Neurospora crassa OR74A: one gene and its partner. The protein of the gene in region 2 interacts with the protein of the main gene of each other region in a pairwise test. Links are inferred from orthologs where the notes say so. Each region holds a gene or a part of one and is shown on either strand. Other genes may lie near its edges. The genes, in order: NCU05296 and NCU04319.

What was found.
Region 1: the proteins of NCU04319 (region 2) and NCU05296 interact in a two-hybrid assay, tested with the Schizosaccharomyces pombe proteins (3 studies listed by BioGRID). The link is inferred for Neurospora crassa OR74A from reciprocal best matches to the Schizosaccharomyces pombe genes alp6 and alp4.

Annotation. Positions count from the first base shown.
Region 1 is NC_026504.1:5,424,663-5,431,252, reverse strand, and holds NCU05296 (spindle pole body component 97), read left to right. Parts: upstream 1-2,923; 5' UTR 2,924-3,366; coding exon 3,367-5,622; intron 5,623-5,698; coding exon 5,699-6,130; 3' UTR 6,131-6,302; downstream 6,303-6,590. Other genes in the region: NCU05294 (C6 finger domain-containing protein), read left to right, coding at 1-124, 228-605; pca-5 (proteasome component PUP2), read right to left, coding at 1,128-1,301, 1,368-1,893, 2,113-2,125, 2,267-2,291. UniProt on the Schizosaccharomyces pombe protein: Component of the gamma tubule complex that is required for the regulation of both interphase microtubules and mitotic bipolar spindles.
Region 2 is NC_026505.1:5,598,497-5,605,273, forward strand, and holds NCU04319 (spindle pole body component), read right to left. Parts: upstream 4,474-6,777; 5' UTR 4,196-4,473; coding exon 4,038-4,195; intron 3,952-4,037; coding exon 1,206-3,951; 3' UTR 971-1,205; downstream 1-970. Other genes in the region: NCU04318 (dihydroorotate dehydrogenase), read left to right, coding at 1-365; NCU04320 (transcriptional co-activator), read left to right, coding at 5,278-5,506, 5,571-5,860, 5,919-6,027, 6,087-6,777.

The DNA of each region.
Region 1 (6,590 bases), on a different chromosome or scaffold from region 2:
AAATACGATTGCGAGGATCGCCGCGGGGTTGCATGAGGATACGAGCCATGTCAGTGCGGTGAGTACGCTCGTGGGGGCGGCGTTCATTGAGAGTGGGTTTTGTTTGTTTGTTGCTGGTATTCAGGTTAGTCTCCCCCCTTACTTTTTTCATTCTTATACCCCCCCTTTCCCCCTTCCCCCTCGTGTCGTTTCAGTTACTTACATGTAAAAAAAAAAAAAAAAAACAGTTCCAAGAACCCCCCCAACGCCACTGGCTCATCTCCCGTCTGCACGACATGGCCCGTCTAACGGGCTGGCAATCCGCCCGCCAGATCGCCGACGGGTGCGAATCCGGGTGGATGAAAGCTGCGGAAATGGGCCGTGGTCCACCGTATCGACGGCTTTCTTCTTCTTCTTCTTCTTCTTTTTCGGGTAGTAGTAGTAGTAATAGTAGTGGTTTTCTACCGATTTGGATGCGACCGCGAAGAATCGACAAGAAGATCCGGGAGGAGCAGGCGGGGGAGAACCGGTTGGTGCTGGCGAGGACGGAGCATGCGCATTTTGCGCTGGGGTTGTTGACGGTCGAACAGGATTTGGATCGGTTGGAGTTGAGTGAGGGGGAGTAGAGGTGATTGATTACATGTAGAGAATCTTGGGGTGTAATACCATATGGGACTATATATATATATGCATATATATAATTCGGGCGTTGAGGGTGGGTTGGGAAACATGAGATGAGCGGGCTTTAACGAGCGAGTGAGCTTATAGCGGACGACGACCTGGGCATTATGGAATACCTTGATGTACTGTTTAGAAGGCTGGAACGGAATCCAAGTCCGAGACGAGAGATGGTGTCAAGTAAACGGTGTGTTGCCTGCTGACCGGCTTTCAGGTCGGTTACTTTCATACGCCTTTATCTATTGCGAATCCGTTGCCACACGTGCTTGAAACGCTGGACATATGCCGTGGAATGGGGTGAGTAGAGGGCCACCAACCAACCAAGAGTGCTTGAGTTGGATTCGATTCATTAAACAGTTTCTCCCATCAAAAAACCGGGAGATGCCGCTTTCCATCCCGTTCGCCTGCTATCTCCAGCTATGCTTTAGTTTCCCATTCCCCTTCATCAACATTACATGACACATGCTTCTTTAGTTGGCGGGCAACCGCGCAACAACAGCGGCCATTTCCTCGTCTGTGTATATCCTGAAGCCCTTGTCCTTGGTGACGCTCGCCAGCTGCACGTTCTTGGCATCGAGCTTCTCCTCCATGACCTGCTTGAGCGTCTTGAGGACGAGCGTCTCGGCGTCTTCGAGGGTGAGGGACTATATAACAAGATGAAAATTAGCAATAAGGCCCTAATACAGTCCCGGGCACCCTAGATAACCCACCTTGTGGTACTCATTCTGCAACTCGGCCTGCGCGCCCTCGCTACCGCTTCCAATTGCCTTTGCATCATAGCGATAAAACGTTCCCGACGGCTCGGCATGGTACAGACTCGGGCCGTCCTCATCGTAGCCGGCAATCAGCAGCGCCACGCCAAAGGGGCGGGACATGATGCTCTCCTCGCCGTCGGCGCTCTCGCCGAAGCGCAGGGCCAGGTCGCAGATGGCCTGCGTGCAGCTCTCGACGCGCAGCTTCTCGTTGTAGTTGAAGGCGTGGCTCTGGCACTCGACGCGGGCGTGCTCGATCATGGAGCGCGCATCGGCCTGCAGCCCGGACATGGCGGTCCCGATGTGGCGGTCGATCTCGACAATCTTCTCGACCGACGAGGTCTCGAGCAGGGTCGAGGTCACGCGCTTCTCGACGCCGAGAATGACGCCCTCCGAGGTGGCGACGCCGATGGCGGTGGAGCCGAGCTTGATGGCCTCGAGGGAGTACTCGACTTGGAAGAGGCGGCCTTCGGGGGAGAAGGTGCTGTAGGCATGATTATTAGTCTTCCTTGTTGGACTGGGTAGATAGGTGGGTGACTTGGATGTAGGTATTGTGGCAGGTTGTGTGGTGTTTTATCGGTATTCGTTAGAGGGTGTTATCGAGGGATATGCGATCGAGTAGTGGCTGGAGGAGTATGGGAGAGAGAGAGAGAGAGGGTGGTGTGGCCAAGCGTAAAAGTCGTTCGTTCGTATGTTCACTTACTTGATGCCCCGATCTAGATGATGCGCCCAAGTATGTTAGCCGTCCGTCAGTCCATGATGTCTGGTGTAGCTGTCTGGTGTAGCTTGTCCCCTCCGGTGGCATCACTTGAAGCTTGACATGGGCAAAGCAAGTGAGGGGGGTGGTAGTGACATACCGTATTCAGATCTTGCCATAAACATTTTGACGGTGTTGAGGGGAGCTCGAGTGGGGAGAAGGGTCCGGGATGTAGTATTGCTGTCGGGAGGTAAGCCTGGCTTTGCTGGTTATATGCGCCGGGCGTTGGTTGGTGATAGCCGAAGAGATAGATGGTGTTAGCGTCGAGGGTCGGTGTCTCTTAGTCGAGGACTGGTGAGTGATGTTGTTTGTTTTGGGAGAGATTGGATGATGCTGTGCCGTGGTGGTTTGGATGGGAACAAGCTGCCGTAAGGCCTGAACTGAGGTGCCTGGGACCGACCGACGTCAAGCACCTCAGTGGAATGGAAGAGCTCCAGGCACGACAGGCCGACGAAGCTCCTCTGCCAGGCGGGCCGGCCAATCCCCTGTACCCTAGGTACCTAGGTAGGTGTCCCAAAAGGTACTTGCAGGTACGTACCTCCCGTCTACCTTCAGTTCCCACCTAGCAACCCGACTGTCAGCGCCTGGCCAGGGGAACCCCTCAGACCTAGCGGCCCGGGTGCCCCTCCCTGCCCGTAGAAGCCGCCCGCTGGGGCATCACCTATCCACTGAGACGGCTTGCTTGGCGGGTCCTCCTCCCTCTGATAACGCGTCCAATTAATTGTTGGTGGTCGCGTCACTTCCATCCAGCGGGCATCGGGTCTCCATTCCGCCGACACACTCCAACATCCAACGGGACGGCATCCTCTCACACTCACTCACTCACTCACTCACTCATCACTTTTGGACTGCGATTGCTACCTTCTTGGCTTCGCAATTCCTCCTCCATTTCCATATCCAACAACGTCTCCTCACAGGACAACCCTGTTGTTGTTACCCGGCAGATTTCCCGACCGCTGCTCGACCGTCACAATACATACGTTAGGCTGACAAGCTACAAGTCCAAAGATAATGTACCCTTAGAAGGGGGCAACATCACCGGGTCTCCGACCGTCAACCTTCACCAAACCCAGGCCCGACACGCCCGACCCCAGATCCAGTCCAGCGGCCCACGGCATTGTACATGGCCACGAGCCGCCAAACATATCCATAACCTTCTCCCACTTCCCCGACCGCCGCGCCGCCAGAGTCACCTCCGCAATGGGATCATCGGCCACCCTAGCCCCGACCCAATCCACCTCACAGACACGTCCCACCAGCAGAACCCTCGTCAATGACCGCCGCCCAGCCAAAGTCCAGGTGACCACACGCGATCCTGCCATGGCTCGATCCGGCCGGAACGCCGACCCCCTCAGCGCTGGTAGCGACACCCTCAAGTCCAGATCACGGAATGTCGAGTCAAGGCGGCCAAGAGGAGACAGCCGCGCTGCTGAACAACAACCACAACCACCACCGCCAGCCCCTTGGGAACCCGCCGCTACCCTACTCCCTCACACGTCAGCCCCTTTAGCTTCGCGAGTCTCGATACCGCCCGTTGCTTCGTCCGCGCCTCAGACACTACAGCCGCGACCGCTTGCCGAGCTGTCCCTCAATGCGCAAGAGGCTGCCATGATCGAGGACCTGCTCTTCGTGTTTATGGGCTTCGAGGGACAGTACATCCGATTCGCAAAAGGCTACAATCCCTACGAGGAACGAGACCGCTTGTCTGGGCCACAATGGCGCATCCTATCTGGGCTGGATCCCAGCTTGCTGGACCTTACACAATCCATGCTGCGCATGGCTTCTCACTACACGGCGCTGGAGACGTTTGTTGATGTTCAGAGTCGCGAAGAATTCGGTGCCGTCAACCACGCCTTGTGCGCCTCGATCCGGAGGTATTTGCACGAGTATCTGGTCATGGTTGTCCAGCTGGAGACACAGTTTCTCAACGACGAGAACTTTACATTACAGCAACTCAACGTGCATATCCTTCCCAGCAGCCATCTGATGGCTCACATGTATGGCTTGGCGCTGGAGCTGCTAAAGCGCAATGCGCTTCTGGATGACGACTCGGACGAATCGAGCGATAGTTCCGACGACGACTTCGATCACATCATCGAGCAGCTCAGAGACGGCGGTGATCTTGTGCCGGGGAATATGACGGGCAAAAAGATATGCAAGGGAGGCGTGGTATTGGGGCTGATCACCAAGAGACTGGAGTCGCTATCGGGAGACCCGTCCGCCAGAGTACTCCTCACAACTCTGCTACGGGACGCAAGCCGACCATACATGGCCATGTTGAACGAGTGGTTGCACCATGGAAGCATCAACGACCCACATTCCGAGTTTCTGATCAAAGAACAAAAGAGTATTCGCAGGGAACGATTAGAGCAGGATTATACCGACGAATACTGGGAGAGGCGATACACGATACGAGATCACGACGTGCCACCTCAACTGGAGGCCGTCAAAGACAAGGTCTTGCTGGCTGGCAAATACCTGAATGTTGTCCGAGAGTGCGGAGGCGTCGATGTTAGTCGCAAGATGCAGGACGTACCAAACTCGTTCGACGACAATAGGTTTCTGGAGAACATCAGCAGCGCCTACGCTCATGCCAACGGATCGCTAATGCAATTGCTTCTTACCACACACGAGTTGCCGGCGAGACTACGATCGTTAAAACACTACTTTTTCCTGGACCCTTCGGATTACTTCAACTACTTTTTGGAACTAGGAACGTCCGAATTACGAAAGCCCGTCAAGGTGGTGAACACTGGCAAGCTCCAGTCTTTGCTCGATTTAGTCCTACGACAACCGGGAAGCATAGTCTGTCTGGACAAGTTCAAGGAGGATGTCAAGGTGGAGATGAACGAGGTTACGCTACTCAAATCGCTTCAGCGGGTCGTTAACATTACCGGTATTGAGCAAGGCGAGGCGCTTCAGCTTACATCAAACCAACCGTTGGAAGGCGACAAAAACGCCACTGGATTTACCTCGCTCCAGCTCGACTATACTGTTCCCTTCCCGGTGTCTCTTGTTATTAGCAGGAAGACCATTTGGCGTTATCAGGCCTTGTTCCGCTACCTTTTGTCACTGCGTTACCTCGAGACCCAACTATCGGTCACATGGTATACTCACGCAAGCGGCACGGCCTGGACACACCGTTCATCCAACCGCATGCTGGAGATCTGGAAGCGAAGGGTATGGACACTCCGAGCTCGTATGCTTGTATTCGTTCAGCAGCTGCTTTATTTTTGCACTGCCGAGGTAATCGAGCCGAACTGGCAGAAGCTCATGAACACGCTCCGGGAGATTGAGAACAACTGCGCGGGTGTGACTACACAAGACGGTACCTCTACGCCAAGGGCATCATCTGCCAAGAAGCCTCATACCGTCGATGGGCTTATGCAGGAACACGTGGATTTCCTCGACACTTGCTTGAAGGAATGCATGTTGACCAACAGCAAGTTGTTACGAGTATGTCTTGTCCCCCCCCCTTACCTCCTACCCTAGGTATTCCGAATAATACAAACTAACTAACAAACCCCCCCAGATCCACTCCAAACTAATGCAAACCTGCTCCGTCTTCGCCACCTACACCAACTGGCTCTCCCGGGAGCTCGAAAAGTCAGATCCAGACCTGACAGGCAACACCAAGCCGCCCAACATGACGGACGATCAATGGCGACAGTTTCTGGTTATTCGGGGCCAACGACAGCAACAGCAGTCAAAAGACGGAGACACGAACATGGAAAACGACAAGAACCCCGAGACGAGAATGAACGAGCTCTTTGACGTGATACGCAAGTGGGAAAGCAACTTTAGTCGACACCTGCAGATCCTGCTGGACGCACTGAATCACTATGCGGCAACGGAGACGGTGGTGCTGTTGAGTCTGTGTGCGCGCTTGAGTACGGCTAATCAGGGGACCGAGTATGCTGGGTTGAGGAGTGAGGAGGACGGGGGGCATGGTGGGGGGTCATGATGATGCTTCACTGGGGGTGTAGTGTAGGGGTGTGGAGTGTGGATATGTGATGAGAGAGGGCAGAGTAAAGCAGAAAGGGCATTATTATTACCATGATACCACCCATAACTGAATCAAGAAAGATGAATAATTCAGAAGAAGAACGAAGAATAAGAATAAGAAGAAGCATTATATGAAACGTTCGGTAACTCGAGTCGTGATTACGTTCAAGCTCATGTTTGGTTTCGTCCCAACTGAGCCTTGGTGTATCTCATCCGGAGATGCTTTCTTCGCCACCGCCGCCTCCTCCTCCTCCTCCAGATACCGAACTGCAGACGTCTAGACGGGCTTGGGCATGTTATCCGGATATCGGAATGGGTGCCATCTCTTTGGCACCTGCGCGGTTTCCGTTACCGACGCGGGGGTTCAGGGGACCCAAAAGGGGCGGTTTTGGTCTCTACTTTTTTTTCTTTCTTTCTAG
Region 2 (6,777 bases):
TCACCTTCCTCACAGCCACCAACACCCTCGGCAGTTGTCTTGCTTTTACAGCTTTTACCGGTTTCACAGACGACTTTACTCAAGCGGCGTTACCAACCGACTTAGGCACAGGCGGACTAGCTGGTGCCCCCTTACATCCATTAGCGCTGGGGAATGTCAAAACGCTTAGGAAAATGTTGGATGAAAGAGAAAAAACGCTGGGACATCGGATACAGATAATTGGAGTGGGAGGGGTGCTAGATGCACAGGGGTATAAGAGGATGAGGATGGCGGGCGCGGATGTGGTTGGGTTGGCGAGTGGGTTGTTATTGAGGGGGGTAAAAGTTTTTGAGGAGATTGAGAAGGGGGTGGGAGGGGATTGGTGACAGTGTGGTATGGTAGGTCCTTTGTGCGGTATAGAAGAGAGGGAGAGAGGGAGAGATAATGGGATAGATAAGAGCTAAGGAAGGAGTGAGGAATTGAAGATGAGAGCTGAGGGGACAGAGTCAGGGTAAGCATGATTTCTTGTGTGATAGTAGCAAGCGTATCTAGAGAAGAGGGCTCAAGAGGGGGGATGATATAAGAGGGTTGGGTTGGTTGGTATACAACAAGTTTCCGTCTTTGTCTTTCTCTGACTTTCGTTTGCAAATCAAGTTTTTCGGTGGTTGAAAGCATTCCTTCAAGATCTCCCCCAGTCAGCCATATAGCAAGAACGAAATGCAGTCCGAAAACCAGACGTTTCGTTTCTATATTAAACCAACGAAAAAAAAAGAGATAGGATGGGCAAAATGCAAAAAAAAGAATGGGTTGCGGTTTGTGTGGATCGAACACACGACCTTCAGATTTATGAGTGAAGTGGACTTCAGTCTGACGCTCTCCCAACTGAGCTAAACCCGCTTTGATGGATGAGTATACTTTTGGTTCAACTTAAGTAGCCACCCAGCATCCAGATTTCTGTCTCCTCGATGTCGAGGCCATTACCGATGTCTTTGCCGTCAAATACGCTTTAGGTTTTGGTTGGATATGATTTAATGTCAGTAGGTCAATGCTCGGTCACGACCGATCCAATCATCCATTCTGCCAATGTTCGCTATTATGTCCGGTTTCATTCCCCCCGCTACTTCCCATCCTACATCTAGTGGTATACCTATCATCTGTCGTCACCGGCTCCGGTACAAATACCTTGGTCCACTACTCGACTCGCTCGTGTCAGACCCACATGCTGCCTAGGCCTTCGAGGTATCTGTCCCACGAAAAGTCGTCCCTCCTCCCGCAACACCTTGCCCACCACTCCCCCCAGCCTGAGACTGTCCCTGAGCGCCCGCTATCGACGATGCCGCCGAAGCGACAGAGGCAGCTCCACCAGTGGGGACGGCACTCGACGAGGTCTTCGTCTTCCTCCTCACAGGTTGATACACATCATTGAAATTCATCGACACTCCCAAGAACCGCATATCCACATCCGGCTGGTACGCCAAATCTCCCAAGAGAATCTGCAACCTGGTCTTAAAATTGGCGCCCAATTGCTTCAACCGGTCCTGCAACGCTGGGAACTCGCTCTTAACTGATCCCGCGTCACTGGTGGCCGCGGCGTCGAAGTACTCGTATGGCGGATCGAGATCCATCGAGTCAGCCATGGACGACGCAGCTTGGGAATCTGCTCGGTCTCGCGTCGTGGTTCGGGTGCTCCCGCCGCGGTGTGAGTAGATCAGCCCGGCTGTCTCCTTCTCCTGACGTCTCGTAAAGTCGGAGACGGACCAGCTGTAGAGACCGTCTACGCTGTCTCTGTAGGCGAGCATTATCCGGAGCAGCTCGCTTAGCTGGACCATGTAGGAGTTGCGATCTTCGTCGGTCGTGGAAGATGCTGAGACAGGGTCGCCTGTCTGCGGGTACGGTCGTCGTTTGGCACCGAGGAGACCCTTGTGTGTGATAGATGTGAGGTATTTGGTATGGGCAGTTATTAGGTCGTCGAGCGTGCAGTTCTCCTTGTGAATGTTCTTTTGCAGTTCGGTCCAACTGCTTTCGATAACCTCAAAGAGGATGTAGTACTGTAATTGGCCGACAAAATGGACCATCTCGGCGAGGACACCCCGTGTGCTCTTCCATGTTTGAAGCACCGTCTCGTCCGACGTCTGGAGAACGCCGCGGGCGCCAGTCATGCACTTGCGCCAGGTCGAGGCCAGGGCAAACTCGACACGCTTGATACGCCAAAGGAAGTTGAAGACTTTGAGGTACTGTCGATTGCCCCACTCGGTGACAACGACGTCCACGGGCGCGTCAATCTTGTACTCGAGCGTAAAGCAGTCCCAGCCGATATCACCATGGCTAAGCTGAAGCATGCGAGCATCCAAGCGATTGGTGATTTCTGGATCATCATATTGAGCGTTTGAGCCTCGGATGGCATGCTCAAGCTGCGCAGTGAGTGTATGTCGATACTGGGCGCCCGCTGGCCGATCTAGGTTAGGAGCCAGCGACTCCATCAGCAGAGCAATGAAATCACCCTGCCCCAGCAGAATGTACCGCTTCAGCGCCTCTAGATGATCAAAGACACGGAATTGGTCATTTAGGAGGCGCATAAGATGGCTCATTGTCTCCCTGTGTGCCTCGTCAATCCAGGCTTCCAGGGTAGCTGTGTCACCATATTTGAGCTCCCTGGACGCATTTTTACTGTAGTCCTCGACCCATTTGTGATCACCGCAGCTGTGGCGGATGAAGTTAAGGGACTTTCCGATGAGGAAAACCTTGTCAGCAAAGTTGCGTGTGATAATACTCGGGACCATGTCCTCAACAAGCTCATACTTGGAGTTCCAGACACTCATTTGGCCCTTAGCTTTGGCGTCTTTCCTCTCCTCATCGAGGGGGTTCTGTTCCCGAACAAAAAACTCCATATGGGGATCGAGGAGCTCTCCGTCATAGATCCAGCGGCGTAGGATATCGTAGAATGGCCGAGTCACGTCAACAAGCAAGCGCTCAGCGAATGCAGCTACGACAGGATCGCCGTGTGAAGACGAAAAGTTGTGGATCAGGGTGACCAACTGCCCACCATGCTTATTCTTGCTCTCCTCGGCAATCAGAGACATGAGGCGCAAGCCCATAGTAGCCTCACGGGTCCATACCACGCATCGCTTGAGCGTAACGCCCGTTTTTCCAATGCCACCACGGGGAGCAGACTCGTCAAGCTCAGAGAGAGCGCGGCGAATTTGAGTCTCCAGGGTAGCCACCAGAGTCAAATATGACCGAAGCTCCTTGCTGATGGCAGCCCGTAGACTCTGGCCCAGTAGTCCGTTTGCCGGCGTTTTGGTAAACTCGTTTAGTCCTCTGTAGAGAAGCGAAGGCTCGGCCAGCGTGTTGAGAAGAGAGATGATGGGGATAGGAAGCGTTGGTGGTAGCTTCAACGTTGTGTCGTTGAGAAAGGGGAGAGTTGCCGATGAAAGGCCCTGCAGGGTGAAGGGCAGGTCCCTCAACAAGGCCGGCTCCGAAGGGTCATGCGCCACATCCCTTTCGTCTCTTGAAGCAGGGCCAGCCTGGTGACTCTGGACAGGCGTATGACCTTGGTCTCGACCATGTCTTGGCCTTTCTGGGGGGAGATTGTGAGAGCCTTCGGGAGAAGGGGCATCCTCCATGACCTCCTCATCCTGAACCTCGTCATATGCCGGGATCCTGGGTTCGGCAGGCCATGCTGACGGTTGAGGAGGTGTTTGCGCCTGGATCTGGGGGTGGAACTGAGGGTCGAAATGAGGTTGCTGTCGGGCAAGCGGGCTTAAAGGGAGGGGCTCATTGGGGTCTGGCGAGTCCGAGAGCTGGTATAGAAAGTAGAGGATGGCCCACTTTTGGTTGAGCACCGGGAGGGAGAGTAGTCGGGTGTAGAGGTGGGAAAAGCGCAGTGCCTGGGTTGGGTTTCCCTGGATCAGCTTCCTCTTGATCAAGTCGGAGGCATTGTTGACGTCGGCATCATAGCTTGGCGAGGAGGGTCTGGTTTGGGGAGAAAGGCAGAGAGAGTTAGCAATGTTTGTTTTGTTATCTCAGGCCGGCGCCGTTGCTGGAGCAAGCCTCCTTACTGTTCGAGAAGGGCCTTGACGGCCGAGGCATAGTCGTCGTGTCGAAGCTCGGCGGTCTGGTCGTCTTCGTAGGGGTTTTCGGGGATCAGGTGGGCTATGAGGCTGTCGATGGCGCTGGAGATCTTCTGGGCTCGGTGTTCCTGCTGTCGGCTAGCCATTGTTGCATTGTCTGGGGGTGGGTGGAATTGGCGGCGTCCAGTTGTATGCCCATCACATCTTCCTTGTCTCCGTCCCTTGGTTCTTCAGCTTTCCTTTGCTTGCTCGAATTTCTCAAACCTAATGATGCCAAGTGGTAGCGCAGGTGGGTTTGGTTTGGTTTGGTTTGGTTTGGTTTGGGGGGTGTTGCCGGCCGGAGAGGGGACGGGACGCGCCACAAGACGCGACAGACGGTGATGGTGTTGATCTTGTTGTTTGTTCCTGGAAGCTTGGTACTGAACCTACCTAAGTTGCACTTGGTGATCATGGCGGCTCTTTCCAGCGCTCCCAGTTCACTGAACGGGAAAATAGACTAGTACACTGCCCGGGTTGTAGGCGGCAGGCAGTAGAGGTACCCGGGCGCTCAATAGGTAGGTAGGTAGAGGTAGTTCCATGTTGCGCCCGTACCTTAGGTGATTTAGCGTGCATCTTTCAGCGCTCTTTTCAGAACTCTCTCGCAAAGTCCAACAACCCAACAACCGCCCGGAAACCGAAGTGACCACCAAAGGAGGAGGAGAACGACAACTCAGGTCCCGTGGGTCTCGATTCAGACTTCCAACCGTCCAACAACCAGCCTTTGTCGATCTGATACACCAATCTACTTGTCGACGACAGGATGCTCAATTCATCAGTCTGAGCCCAGATTCGCAATTGCATAGCGTTGGCCGACGGTTTCAGGCCCAGATGATCATATTCCCGCGTCGCAATTGTGCTGTTGCTTCGCACGCGACTGTCCGGGACTGACGCCATTCGCAGGCAGGGGCTTCATATTCCAAGGGAAGCGCCCATTACCAACGAGTAGAGTTCTTGCTCGGAAGAAGGGAAACCATTATCAACTTCAACTTTCTTCTGTTTGGGGGAGTGGTCCGACCTCCTGAGGTTCTTTCTGGAGGACGCCAGGCACCATCCTTCTCCTTCTTCGCCGAGGTCACAGTCCGCCCTCCTCTTCCGGTTCCGGTTCCGGTCCCGGCCCGGATTTCGACCTCGACGGCATTTCCAGACCGACACATCTACAACCGCTCTGTGAAGAGCCACACCTACCAACATGGTCGACATAAATCCCGCGGCCCTCAGTCGGCCATCCGTCAACATCTCGACTCCTATTCTTGCTACAAAATCCATCAATGTTTCCGTTCCTCCATTACAAAAGCCAAAGACCAGCCAACTCATCCCGGCCCGCATCGACCTCGAACCTATATATACTGCTCTCAGGGCAAACATTGGTCTAGAACAATGGACGGTTTACAAGGAAGCCGTTGGCAACTTTCTGCTTGGTTGGTCTCCCTTCAGGCCGACTGCCCTCGACACGCCCAGGGACTAACAAACATCCTTTTGTAGGTCGCCTCAACCAAGCCGAGCTCAGTGCGCGCATCGACCCAATATTGGCCTCTCCCGATGGTACCAAAGAGCACCTTCATAACCAGCTCATCGCTGCTATATACGGAAATGTCACTCGAGAAATGCCTGACCAGGGCCTTGCGCCTTGGGTCAGCGCAAACGATAAACCCTCAACCAACACGTCGAACAAGCCCGTGTCGGGTGATGCCGCCGAAAGACGGTTGAAGGGAGAGGTCATGCAACTTCCCAGCAGGGACAGAAGACGTATCAAAGATCTCGCCCTCAACGACGTATGTGAAACACGACGTCAGCTTGTTTCGACCGGACCACTAACAGCTTTCGATGCAGTTCGACCCCTACGAGTCCCTGTCTAGCGTGTTCGTTGACCACTCCAGAAACAAGTCCATCAAGACTGCCGAGGTACCAGCAAGTGCCGCAGGAGGTCTCAGCCGGATGAGTAAGTTTTCGACTAGCCACCAGCATGAGCTGTTACTAACCTTGCCTCTCTCTTCACAGACTATGATCTGGAAATCAGGAAACGATATGCACAGCCGCTCGCAGTAGAGTCCGGAGAGTTCCCCGATGTCAGCAACATCGAGGCCAAAATGCTTCCCATATGCTACGAGGCTGGCCTCTCGGGCGGACACGCGCCAGAAGCCGCCCAGTTCATGTCGATAGCCACGGAAACGTTCATCAAGCAGGTCATGTCCTCCATATTCAGCCGAACGAGGAGTAACGGCCCCGGAGACTCTGGTAACGCCGGTTTCGGAGCGGGTAACGCTTGGATTCAAACACACAAGTACCGACGCAAGTTGCAGAAGGAAGAAGAGGCCTTTCAGAGGGGCGAGGTAACACGCGATAAGAGCGGCCTATTGCCCGTGGAAGCTAAAGCCGCCAGCGAGCGTGGGCCTCTGGGCATGGCGGATTTCCGCATAGCGCTGGAGATGGGTGACTGCGGACTAGCTAACTTTCCCATTGTCGCCAAGTCGGTCATCTACGACTACCGGGAAGGGGAGCTTGAAAACTGGGACGATCACACGTACATTGACGGGCGGGAAGTACGACCGACTACCGACGGAGATGTGGAGATGGGTGGAATGGCGGCCAACGGCAAAGCAGATGGGCCATTACCCAATGGCGTCAATCACGAGGACGCTATGGAAGTTGACAACGATGATGATGATATGCCTTGGGAAGGCGCAAGCTC